Linked DNA regions of Coturnix japonica. The protein of the gene in region 1 purifies or fractionates together with the protein of each later gene. This does not show direct contact. Links are inferred from orthologs where the notes say so. Each region holds a gene or a part of one and is shown in the gene's direction. Other genes may lie near its edges.

The links.
Region 2: the proteins of NUP160 (region 1) and SEH1L fractionate together in Homo sapiens (co-fractionation; 3 studies listed by BioGRID and IntAct, with this or other methods). This does not show direct contact. The link is inferred for Coturnix japonica from reciprocal best matches to the Homo sapiens genes NUP160 and SEH1L.
Region 3: the proteins of NUP160 (region 1) and NUP43 purify together in Homo sapiens (affinity purification with mass spectrometry; 5 studies listed by BioGRID and IntAct, counting the BioPlex papers as one, with this or other methods). This does not show direct contact. The link is inferred for Coturnix japonica from reciprocal best matches to the Homo sapiens genes NUP160 and NUP43.

What each region holds. Positions count from the first base shown.
Region 1 is NC_029520.1:523,935-528,262, forward strand, and holds the start of NUP160 (nuclear pore complex protein Nup160), read left to right. Parts: upstream 1-1,395; 5' UTR 1,396-1,440; coding exon 1,441-1,643; intron 1,644-2,143; coding exon 2,144-2,354; intron 2,355-2,615; coding exon 2,616-2,838; intron 2,839-3,046; coding exon 3,047-3,125; intron 3,126-3,748; coding exon 3,749-3,863; intron 3,864-4,326; coding exon 4,327-4,328. UniProt on the Homo sapiens protein: Functions as a component of the nuclear pore complex (NPC). Involved in poly(A)+ RNA transport.
Region 2 is NC_029517.1:87,397,368-87,401,646, reverse strand, and holds the start of SEH1L (nucleoporin SEH1), read left to right. Parts: upstream 1-1,461; 5' UTR 1,462-1,525; coding exon 1,526-1,636; intron 1,637-4,279. UniProt on the Homo sapiens protein: Component of the Nup107-160 subcomplex of the nuclear pore complex (NPC). The Nup107-160 subcomplex is required for the assembly of a functional NPC.
Region 3 is NC_029518.1:43,392,387-43,395,573, reverse strand, and holds part of NUP43 (nucleoporin Nup43), read left to right. Parts: intron 1-1,257; coding exon 1,258-1,393; intron 1,394-2,235; coding exon 2,236-2,387; intron 2,388-3,187. UniProt on the Homo sapiens protein: Component of the Nup107-160 subcomplex of the nuclear pore complex (NPC). The Nup107-160 subcomplex is required for the assembly of a functional NPC.

The sequences.
Region 1 (4,328 bases):
ATGGCACCACTCCATGTCACCAAGTCCATTGCCCTCCAGTGCCACCCCAAACCCGAACGCTGGCTGGGAAGAGGGTTGAAACAGAGGGAACAATGGGAACGATGGTGATAACAAACACTGGACGGTGACCTTCAGCCACGTCCACGTGCCGTCGGCGGGGTCCTCCCCCCGGGCACCGGAACGGACGCAAAACGGGACTCGAACCGGTCCGGCCGGTTCCCTCCGACTCCTCCCGTGCCGCATGGCCGCGTTCCACCGCCGCCCTCGGATCGGTGCCCCCCGGGAGGGCACGGCCTTGGGGCGTCCGTCGAGCCGCAGCTCCGCTCGCCCCACGGCCACCATAATCCGCTCAGCTCCGGGATTACGGCGCGGGGCCGACGGTGCCCCCCCCCCCCCTCCCCTTCCCGGTGCTGCCAAAGCCTCCGTCGAGGGATTTAACCCCGACCTCAGCCCCCAGACCGGCCCGATGCCCCCCACCCCCACCACGCCCGGCCCCTCCAGCGACCAGCGGATGGGGAAACTGAGGCAGCGGGGAATTCCCGCGTGGGAAACGAATAGCCAAGGCCGTCGGAGGGCGGCCGGAGCCATATAAGGGCAGGAGTTTCACCATTTCCCTGCTTTTTTTTCCCAAGATTCCGGCGGCCCCGCGGCCGAGGAGCAGCGCTGGGGTGACGCCATGGGCTTGGGGTCCCGAACGCTCGCTCTCCCCTCCTGGATCCTACAACCCGCTCCCGCCATGGGCACACACAGCTTCCTGCCCCATCGTGACCCCCAGGGTCCATGGCCTGCTGTCCCGCTCGGACACGCAGTCCCCAGCCCCACGGGGACCCACGGCACTGGGAACCCGCAGACCTAAGCCCCATTGGGACCCACAGACCCCATGCCCCATAGGGATCCCTGGCTCCCACCCCACGGAACCGTAGCCCCATTGTAGCCCTCGGTCCCCAGATCCACAGGCACCCACAGTGCTGGGAACCCCAGGACCCACAGACCCCAGCGACCCCCAGCCCCACAGGGACCCACAGCACAGGGAACCCCACGCCCCACAGGCCCCATAGCAAACCCCGGCTCCCCCCCCCCGCCCCCACGGAGACCCTCAGCTGTGGGTCCGCTGTGGGACCCCAGCGGTCACACGGCCCCGTGAGCCCCATATCCAACCCCCCACAGCTCTACACACCCCAGCCCCACATCCAGCCCCATAGATCCCTCCCCCCCCGCTCTCACTCACTCTCAGCACTCCGCCGCCGCCCCGTCCCGGCCGTGCCCGCAGGAAGCAGCGGGCGAGCCCGGAGGGGGCGTGGCCTGGGCGCAAGTGGGCGTGGCCTCGCCCATAGCCCCGCCCACCCCGCCCTTAGCCCCGCCCACCCGGCAGGTGGCCCCGCCTCCTCCCCGCCCGCCATTTCCCGTGCTGCCCCGCGCGGGCGGGAAGGCGCTGACAAGATGGCGGCGGGGCTGGCGGAGCGCAGCTACATGGAGCTGGGCCCGGCTCCTCGTGCCCCGCCCCGACGGATCCGGGAGGTGTCCTTCAGCCCGCCGGGTACCGCCCCCGTCCCCACCGGGCGTTACGGGGACAGCGCTGGGGGGTTCTGTTACCGAGAGTGCGCTCAGTTGGGGGCGGCCACGCGGAACCGCTGCGTGAGGTGGTGAGTAAGGGCGGGCGGGGCTGTGAGGGGACGGGGCGGGATGAAGGCCTGGGGGGGGGGTTGAGTCATGGAGGGGCTCTTTGGGGCATAGAGATAGAGAGGCTGTGATAGAGAGGCTGCTTGGGGCATGGAGGGGCTGTCTGGAGTGGGAGGGTGTTGGGTTTTGGGGTGGGAATGGAGTGATGGAGGGAATGAGGGGGGATGGGTTTGGGGCTGGGGGTGGATCAAGGGTCTGTGGGGTGGTGGGGGTGGGTTTGGAGGCAGGTAGGGATGGAAGGTGGGGGTTGTGGGGGTTGAGGATGGGTTTGGGGGATGATAGGGATGTGAGTTGGAGAAGGCAGGGACAGAAGGAAGGGGTTTTGCTATAGAAGGAATGAATTTGGGGCAGGAAGGGATAGAGAAGGCTATGGGGGTGGGGGTGGGGCAGGCAGGGATGGTTTTACCTGCTCCCAGCCCCTCCTTGTGTCCCCTGTTGTCCCACACTTCCTTGTTTCTCTCAGGACAACATCTGGGGACATCCTTGAGCTGGTGGAGGAATCTCTGGACACGGAGCTGCTGAACAATGCTGTGCGGTTACGCATCCAGGGCTGCCCGCTGCTGCCGGGCGGTGTACACCTGTGTGAGGTGCAGAACCACCTGGTGCTGCTGCTGGTCACTGTGCAGAGCGTGCACCGCATCCTGCTGCCTCATCCAGCCCGTGCCTATCGCGGGGTGAGTGGCATAGAGGAGTTTATGAGGGATTTAAAGCCTGGCCCTGTGGTCAGTGGCTCCTGTGGAGGCATTACTGAGTGTGAGAAGGGAGAAAATGCTGCTGGAAAATGAGATTTTAAAGCCTGTATGTTTTGGGAAGCAGCAATCGTGGGTTGAAAAAGTGACTGTCACTTAGCAGTGTTGCTCTGTAGGTGGTGAGTTATTTCCTCCATGGCTTGTGTATGTGCTTGAGACTTGTTCTCCTCCCTTTACCTCCTCCAGGATCTGATAGCAGAGAGTCAAGTGCAGTCCGTCTTTACAGACATTGGCAAAATCAACTTCAGAGATCCATCCAGCTACTACCTGATTCCCAGTGTGCCAGGCTTGGCAGCCAACTCACTGGCCTCAGCAGCCTGGCTGAGCAGTGATGGGGAGGCCCTTTTTGCTCTACCCTCTGCAGCAGGAGGCATCTTTGTTATTAAGCTGCCTCCTCATGACATACCTGGTAAGGCTGCATCCTCACACCTGCTTCTGTGGAGCACTGTATCCCCTCTTCCAGCTTTGGACCTCGATGGGTTTTGCTTTTGTCACTTGTGTCTTACGGCCTTGCTGCACACACAGCATCTCTTTTGCATCAGCCTCCTTTCTGGCAACATGTGTTTTGTTAACTAAGTCCTCACTGTGTTTTCCCTGTGTTGCTTTTATTTTGCAAGGAGTTGTTTCGGTTGTGGAGTTGAAGCAGAGCTCGGTGGTGCAGCGCTTTCTCACCGGTTGGATGCCAACAGCAATCAGGTTGGTGTTTGGGGACAAACACAGGGAGCTCGCTTTGCTTTATGATTCCCTCGCATAGGAGGAGGTGGTGTTTCTAGTTGAAGTCCAGCGTGGGCAAATCAGCACCTGCAGATGTGTTCTGCAATGTTAACTGGGTCACAGGCCCCGTCACAGTGAGACTTGAGGGCTGGATTAGTTCATCTTAGTGGGGTCCTGCTGATTCTGTGCGTTGGTGTCTGTGAGTGTGTTACATCCAGTAATTGGCCTCTGAGGATTTACCCAGGATGTGGCTCGCAGCCAGGGTAGATTAAGGATTACAACAGTTGTATGTTCTTGTCCTTGTTCCAAAATGTCAGGCTTCTTTCTGACCAGCAGAGGTTACGTGTAGATAACAGCTCGTTTGGGGACTGTAGTCTTATGGCAGCTTAAGCACATGATCAAACCCTGTTAAAGCCTTCCTGGGAAATGTGAGTGAGCCTGCGGCACCCTGAGTTGGATCACAAGGGGTGCGTTGCTTGGGGCCAGGTGCCTTTCTTTTCCCACCTCAGTCCTTCATCTTAATGGGTAAAACATCACGATAGAAATCTACTGCCTTGGACCTGTGTGCCAACCTTGGCTTCCTTTTAACACACCTGTGCTTTCAGAGGTGACGGTGGCCCATCAGACGTGCCCATCAGCCTTGCAGTTCACTGCCTGGACCACGATGCCTTTCTCTTTGCTCTCTGCCAGGACCACAAGCTTCGGATGTGGTCCTACAAGGTGAGGCTTGCGTTCGGGGCAGGTGTAGTTTAACAGGTGACATTGGGTGCTTTCCAAACTAACTCTGGCAGGCAAGTGGGAGTACCCCAAGGGATGAGGCAGCACCCAAAACGGGTGTTCTGCTGCTTGAGTGGTAATGTAATGTGACTCTTTGTCAACAAGAAACTGCTAAAAGCCTCTGCTTGCTGCATTGTACTTGCTCCAGAGCTAATCAGCCAGCACAGGCACTTTCACGGCTGGGCTGTGCTGGAATGTGTGTCTGCTACTGGAGGGAGGGGAAGCTTTATGTGCTGGCTGGGAGAGCACAGATGAGCTGGGGGAGCTAAACTGCAACCAGAATGCTTATGGTGTACATAAAAATATTTTGCTGGCATTCTGCAGGGAAGGATTGGGCTGCTGCTGGGGTAGACTTGAAGGCAGTTTTGCAGTCCTTTATTATGCTGCTTTCTTGTGCTTCCTGCAGGA
Region 2 (4,279 bases), on another chromosome or scaffold:
GTCCTATAAAGGACACTCTGTTCACTCTTCCACTTCCTCTACACGTGCATAGGAGTTTGACTCCCACTTTACTCATGTGAAGACCTGTGGACTTTACCTATTCCCACATCTGCCCGTGTAATATGTGTTAGCTGCTGATTTCTTTCTGCCATCTCTCAGTCACTTCATTTGACTTACACTCTTAACTCTGGTATTTTCTTCCTTGAACAGAATCTATCTCCTATCTTTCACATACTGCTGAATTATGGGTGCTTTCGCCTGAAACCCCCATCTTTAGATTTCTAACTTCATAGAATCATAGAATCATAGAATCACCAAGGTTGGAAAAGACTTAAAAGATCTTCCAGTCCAACCATTCACCTATTACCAATAGCTCCCCCTAAACCATGTCCCTCAACACAACATCCAGTTGTTCCTTGAACACCCCCAGGGTCGGTGACTCCACCACCTCCCTGGGCAGCCCATTCCAGTGCCTCACCACCTGTAGAACACAGTATTTTACACATACAAGAACACTTCCAGGCAGTTTGCCAAACGTTTGCAAACTGTTTCTGATCATTAAGCTTTGGAGACTCAAAGCTAATAAACCTACTTAATGACTGGATTTGCTGGATTGTTTTTCCCCTGAATCAAATTGCTCTATAATACTCGTACTACTGTATCAAATCAAAGTACTTCCATTTCCAGAGTGCCTTTATCCATGAAGCAGTTGATATTCCAGCAGTTGCTTTGAGTATCTCCACCAATGTTAATAGAGTCATGCTGAACTTCCAGCTGAAGTTAATGAAGTTACGCAGGTTTATTCAGTCAACTTGAGCACAACGTCAGCATACAGTGTCAAAAGTGGAAAACTATCCTTATTAGAGATATTTTTTCTTTCTTCTATGCTGTGGTTCAATTTAATGTAATCTACAGATAATAATGAATCCAAACATTCAAAAATAAGTATCAGTATTGCCCCGATTCAGCATGCCACTCCTCTGTATGTGATCTAGCAAATAACAAAGTGGAAATACCACTGAGTTTTCTGCCTCAGACATCACCATGAATTGAATGTTCATTCATTCAGGTCTTCAGCTCAGCTCAGCCTGAGGTTAGATATTGCAGTCCAAATTTATGGCTCAGTGACTGGAAACTGCAAATGATCTGATGTTTCTCCAAGTCCAAGCACGCATCCCATTATCTCGCTACATGGCACAAAGTGGTTGCACTCAGTAACCGAGGGCGCTTATGTCCTCCTGACCATTGCCAATGTACTGAGCAGCGCGGCGTGCATTTGTGCGCTGCCACTCCCACCCCCTGGATGCTGTAGGAACAAGGCGGGGAGCTCCATCTGCACAGCACCCCCTGCCAGCGGCATCCAGTCACGGCGGCACGGCACTTAGTGCTGATTTACACGTGCCTTACCCAGAGCCGAAGGAGGCAGCCCTCCCTGCGTCCCCGCACGAAGCTCCGCCTCCTGGCTGCGGGCGGGCGTGGCGGAGCAGGCGCAGCGCAGTGAGCGTGGCGGCCGGGCGGCGCCGCGATGTTTGTGGCGCGCAGCATCGCGGCGGATCATCGGGACCTCATCCACGATGTCTCCTTCGACTTCCACGGGCGGCGCATGGCCACCTGCTCCAGCGACCAGAGCGTCAAGGTGGGCGCGGCGCTGGGCGGGACGGGCGGTCGCACGCGGCCTGCGGGCGGCGCGGCCATGGCGGGCAGGGCCTGGGGCCGCGCTGCGGAGCCTGCACGAGTCCCGACCGCGGCCCCGGCGTGATGCGGGGCTGGGTTCGCATCATGCGGCATCGCGGTGCTGCAGGGGGACGGGCTGCTCCTTCGTGAGCCTCTGCTGGGCTGCAGGGAGCGGCTGCTGTGTGCCTGGAGCTCCTCCTGTCCTGCACTGACCTTGGTGCCTGCAGGGGCACTTGGAGGTGTTCAAGACCAGGTTGGACGGGGCCCTGGGCAACCTGATCTAGTAAAGGTGTATGTTTGGTGGCCCTGCCAGGCAGGGGGGTTGGAACTACATGATCCTTGAGGTCCCTTCCAACCCGGGTCATCCTGTGATTCTGTGACCACTGAAGTTAACTCTGGACGTTGTTTATCCAGTGACCTTGGACCAACAATTAAATTTAGTACCACTCCAGAATGGACTAAGTGCTTGTTCCTTCACACACCCATTTGGTTTTTTTGGGTCATTGGCTGGAAATTACCCAAGTATCACTTATCGGAAATGATCTGTTCTGTGCTGCTTTTCTGAGAACCATTTTGGATATTAGTAGATGAAGAACAAATTCTTCCCTGAGGTGACTTTATTCACAGATGCACTCCATACCAATGTTAGCTGCTAAGAAATGAAGCTGTAATGTACTTAAGCTCACCACGATGTGAGAGCTGGAGTACATGTAATTCCTGATTTAAGTTTTATAGCCCGTGGCCCAGAAAAGAGAAGGATGCTTTCCTCCCTCAAGAAGAGGATAGAATCTGGAAGGGCTGGGCACTCCTTTGGCATCTGCTAGGGAGAATAAAAAGGTGAATAAAATGGTGATCAGAATGAAATGAGTTTCATTGATTCTCTGTACATACAGTGGAACTTTACTATTTCAGCCTTTGGAGTACTGTATTCCTTGTTAGAATGAAATTAAAACTCCTCTTCATAAAAATGTTTGCCAGTTTTCCAACTGTACCATTGATTTCCTCCACTTACTCTGTGCAGTATTTTGGCGTACAGCAAAAGAAAACAATACTTTGAAAACTTGCATAGCAAAATACAAATCCTTACAGCAGCAGTGGCAGCAGAATCACAAGGGACCCGAGCAGGTTAGCAATTCAGATAAGGACATCTTAAGGGATCAGCCACAGATACACAGCAGTGGGATTCTGGTGGCCAATGTCTACTAAAAGGTGGTTGTGTATCAGAAATGGAATTAATGGGCGCTGTAATTATGCTTTGAAGACAAGCATGACACAGCTATGAGCAGAATAAATGATTATCCTAACACTGTGGTTTGGAGTTCAGTGTAGAAGAAATTCATGGCCAAGGAAGAAAGGAAAGATTAAGGTCTATGTAAGAGACGTTTCCTAGTGCAGAGATTTGTGCCAGTCTGCATGGCACTGGACTCCTATGGTGAAGCTCAAATGACTGTGGAATGCGAAAAGGAAATTGCAGCTGGCAGAAGTGCTGTCACGAGTGAATGGACACTGGTTAGCAGAAAGGGCAGCCAGCCAGGATGTCTGATGGGCAGAGACTTCAGACTGCTGTGGCTTTGTGAAGCAACCCTTCCAGCAACCTAAGCTGGGATGTGCAGTCAGCCACAAAACCTAATGTCTGTGAGTCAGCGCATGGGGTGCAGGGTATGGCTACAGGAAGAGGAGAACGGTCAGCTGCCAAGAGAGTGATGACTCCAAGTTATTGTTTATCTTGCTTGAAGAAGGGATCTTACTTGCTGGGGCTTGTATTTGTTAGTTGATCTTTTGTCCCTCTTTTCAGCCCTAACTACAGCGATATTTATCCAAATCATCGTTTGCAGGTAACAAAGTCAAACGTAGTGAGTGTCCAGAGTAGCTTGATGTCATTTCACCTTAAAAGATCATGAAATTACCATCTGAAACATTTTACCAGATCTGTTTGTGTTAGTTGAGCCTCTTGAAACTTCATTTAAATTTAAACCATGGGATTTTTGAAAAGAAAGTGTGTATACTGTCTATCTATAGAAACAGCCTACAGCTGACATAAAGGTTTCACACTGCAAGTTTATGGAGGCTTGAAACTGCTGGAAGGCCCCCAGTTTCTCGGCTTTAAAATGATATCCTCCACAGATTGCACAGGACTGCTACATGCTTTCACCACTTCTAACCTCACAGTTGTTATACCAGAGCATCACTTTTCATTACTTTATAGAGGTTAAAGAGGTGCTTAAACTGCAGTTTTGGGAACAGCATTATGTTGCCCAGCAAGTCTTGAATTCGTATTCTTTCCTAATTTCGTAATGATGTTATCATGATCTTCTAGCACACATTCTGTACCACGGTGGCTTATTGCAGGATTATATGTATTTTCATCTGCATTCAAGCTTATGTTCCACATTACAAAACTAAGGGCATTCTCTGAATTGCAGCCAAAAAGACCGAGGTGCACAACCACTGCTATTTGCTAGAATAAGTTCTTCTAAGAAGTGATGTTTTGGCAGAAGTTTGTACCGAGGAATACTGGTAAATGTTTCTGTTATGAATTTGTGTTCTCAATTTTGTGTTCCAGTTTGCCTTTGGGTTTCCCAGCATCTGAACACACCAATTATGC
Region 3 (3,187 bases), on another chromosome or scaffold:
AACAGAATGTTTTGCTGACTCAGGAGGGAAATGTCCTCACAGATCTCTGTTTTTTTCTGAGCAGTTGCTCAAATGATTGTATTCAGATGTAATAATGTGCAGGATGCAATCAGTAGTTTTCTTAGTGCTCATTGGTGGTATTATGTAAAAATGATTACTTTGTACTGGTAACATAAACTGAGACTGCACTGAGGTGCTGAGCTCAGCAGGAACATATGCATAAAATAAATCAGATGTGAATTAACTGAGAAATATCCTTTTGGAAACAGAAATAATAAAATATAAATGAACCATAAATAATTCAGTCAAATGTGTGACTTGGTGAGTTGATCTTACTTGGACTTAAGTGGAAAGGACTAGCAGAAGCTCATTGATTAGAGGTGGTTTAAGACTAAAAGTTGGAATGGGAGAGAAGAGGAAATGTTGGAAGATGCTTTAAAGTTGCCTGGGATGGGGTTAGTTTAGTTTTTAAATAGCTGGAGTGGAAATAGATTTATGTTACCCCATCATAATCAAGATTAAAGAGTTACATAACACAGAGTGATTCTATATGGATGCAGTGCTTGTTTTAGTCTCTCCTAAAGCCTCTTGTTTCAAGTCAGTTCTGTGACCTGTTCTTGGCACTTGTAGAAAACTGTGATCAGAAGGAGCACTGTAGAAAAAGACCTGGAAAATGGCTTTCTCATTTGTTCAGATTAACAGACAAAGCATTGTTTCTGTTTGTCTTTAAGGATGAATATGATATTGATGACTGCTCTTGGAAAGTGCCTGAAGAAAGTATTTTAAACACCGATTGCTGAAATAAGTGCTTCTGTGTTCCACTGTTCTGTGTTCTCAGCAAGAATTACAGCTTCTTGTAGGAGAAACAGAAAGGAGAAGAGCATTCTTAAAAACTCCGCAGCCTTTCTTGTATTTGTGGATTGAGAGCTTGTAAAGAGAACTCTCAGGAAAGTCACAGGCTCGGCTTAATTGATTATTCTTAGGTACTCCAGAAAGAAAACTTACGGATTAGCAAGTGAGTCAGTAAGAACTGGATCTAATCAAACACAGCTTCTTACAGGTTTGTCTAGATAATATTTCTATAGGAAGCAAGGTTATTCTTGCAACACTTAAAATTTCACATAACGCTGGGCCATCTCTGACCCTGAGAATGTAGTCTGGTTTTAGAAGAGCTGTTTAGTGTTCATTAAATGGAGTTAAGTGTTCTGTAGGTTTACCTGAACTTGTAGTTTAATGCTTTGCTAACCTCTCTTGCAGACAATGCAGATAGCAGTACGCTCCATGCTGTGACTTTCCTTCGCACGACTGAGATCTTGACGGTAAATTCAATTGGACAGTTGAAAATATGGGACTTCAGACAACAAAGAAATGAGCCAGCTCAGATATTTTCTTTGTAAGACCTTAATTTTTGTCTACTTACTGAGAAGCACATGCTACTTCATATCTGATTTAAGTCTCTCCTGTTACCGCCTCATTCTTGGCTATGGGATGATAAATAACCTTTTTTTTTCCCCCCGGAATATTTCTACTGCTTTGGTATTTCAGTACCAAAAACAGAGTCTGCTTAATTACTGCTGTGACTGAACGCTGTAATGGTCTGCTTTGTGATTTAACTCTGAAGGACTATTGTATCTGCATGTTCATTCTTTAAGAGCAAAGCAAAGCACTTCTTCCTGTTTAGCTGATTAATTATACATCTGTTTTTTTCCAAAAGGCCTATAAAAAATTGCTGCCATTTGAAATGTTTCTGAAGGATAACTTTATGCCTTTTAAGGTATTGTGAGAAAACAAAGCTGGATTCAAATCCTGTTGTTTATGGAATAGTTCCCATTGCTGTTAATAGGCTTAGGGTTTGGTACCTGGTTAGCGCCTTATCTCCCTCTTTAACTCAGGTCTCCATCTGTAGCTGGCTGCGTATGTTGCAACTGTAATTATAACTTGAATATCAGAATTACCTCCTTGTAGGCATACTTGAAATATTTGTACACAAGGCTTTCTCATCCTTGCAAAGCTGTTGCATGTTGTGTAGGTGCCTTGTGCCCAAGCACACAGAACCTGCTGCCCTCCAGTCATAGCAGCCTGTTACTGCTATAGGTCTTCACTCCAGTAGGTGTCATGTGGCTGCAGTTGACACAGTTGCCCTGTCGGTCAATGCTTATGGAGTGTAAAAAAGAGAAAGTGTAAATTGCATGAAGATATAATTTACACATTTATTTTTCTTCTTCTCCTTTACAGGACTGGTGACAGAGTTCCACTGCACTGTGTGGACAGACACCCCAATCAGCAACACATTGTGGCCACAGGGGGTCAGGATGGGATGCTGAGTATCTGGGACATCAGGCAGGGTACTATGCCAGTGTCCTTGCTAAATGCTCATGAAGCAGAAAGTAAGTATCTGAGTTAAGGAAAAGAGAGGTTGTCTTAGGAAAAGGTTCTGTAAATCCTGGATAAAATCTTGGATATGTTTAGTAGTAAACAATCACATTTGCTGCATAAAGTGCCATTATCCAGTTGGTTTTGTTTTGTTCCCTCTCTGTATGTGAAACTGTTCTCATCTAAAAGGCAACTCTGTTTAAATTAAAGCTAGAATTAGTAAGCAGCTCCTTGTTAGTCATTAGAGACATACAATCTCATTCTGGGAAGGAGTATGTGTTGTGTGCAGATTTAAACTAATAGTCGAGAAGGTGGCATAAGAAATTATTCAGAATGCCTGAGTTTAGAGAAGATTGTAACCTCTAGCAACATACACAGTATTGAAAATAGGGTATTTGATATACTTTTTCCCCTCTCCTATGGAGGGAAAACTGCAGTGATAACTGAAGGTGGGGCTGGGGGCCTTTCTCCCCACCTATCCACCACACCAGCTGAGAATGGTGGGAGCTGGGGTGCATGTCCATATCATATTAACAAGAGGACATTGAGCTGCATATCTGATACTTCTGAATTGGTTTTGTTACTTTCCGGACCCTGAGGGTCCAGGCTGTCTTCACTAGTCCATAACGTTAAAAAAAAATAGTGTGAAGTTCTCCTAAAGCAATAGCATCCTTCTGTTTAACTGGAGCTCTTTTCATTTCCTGGAGCTGACAGTTCTTTCTCACCACCCTTCTTGCAAGCAAACCTGTAGGAGGCACTTGCTGAGTGACTCCATTCTGCATACAGCCGAGCTAAATAATGCTGCTCCCACTGG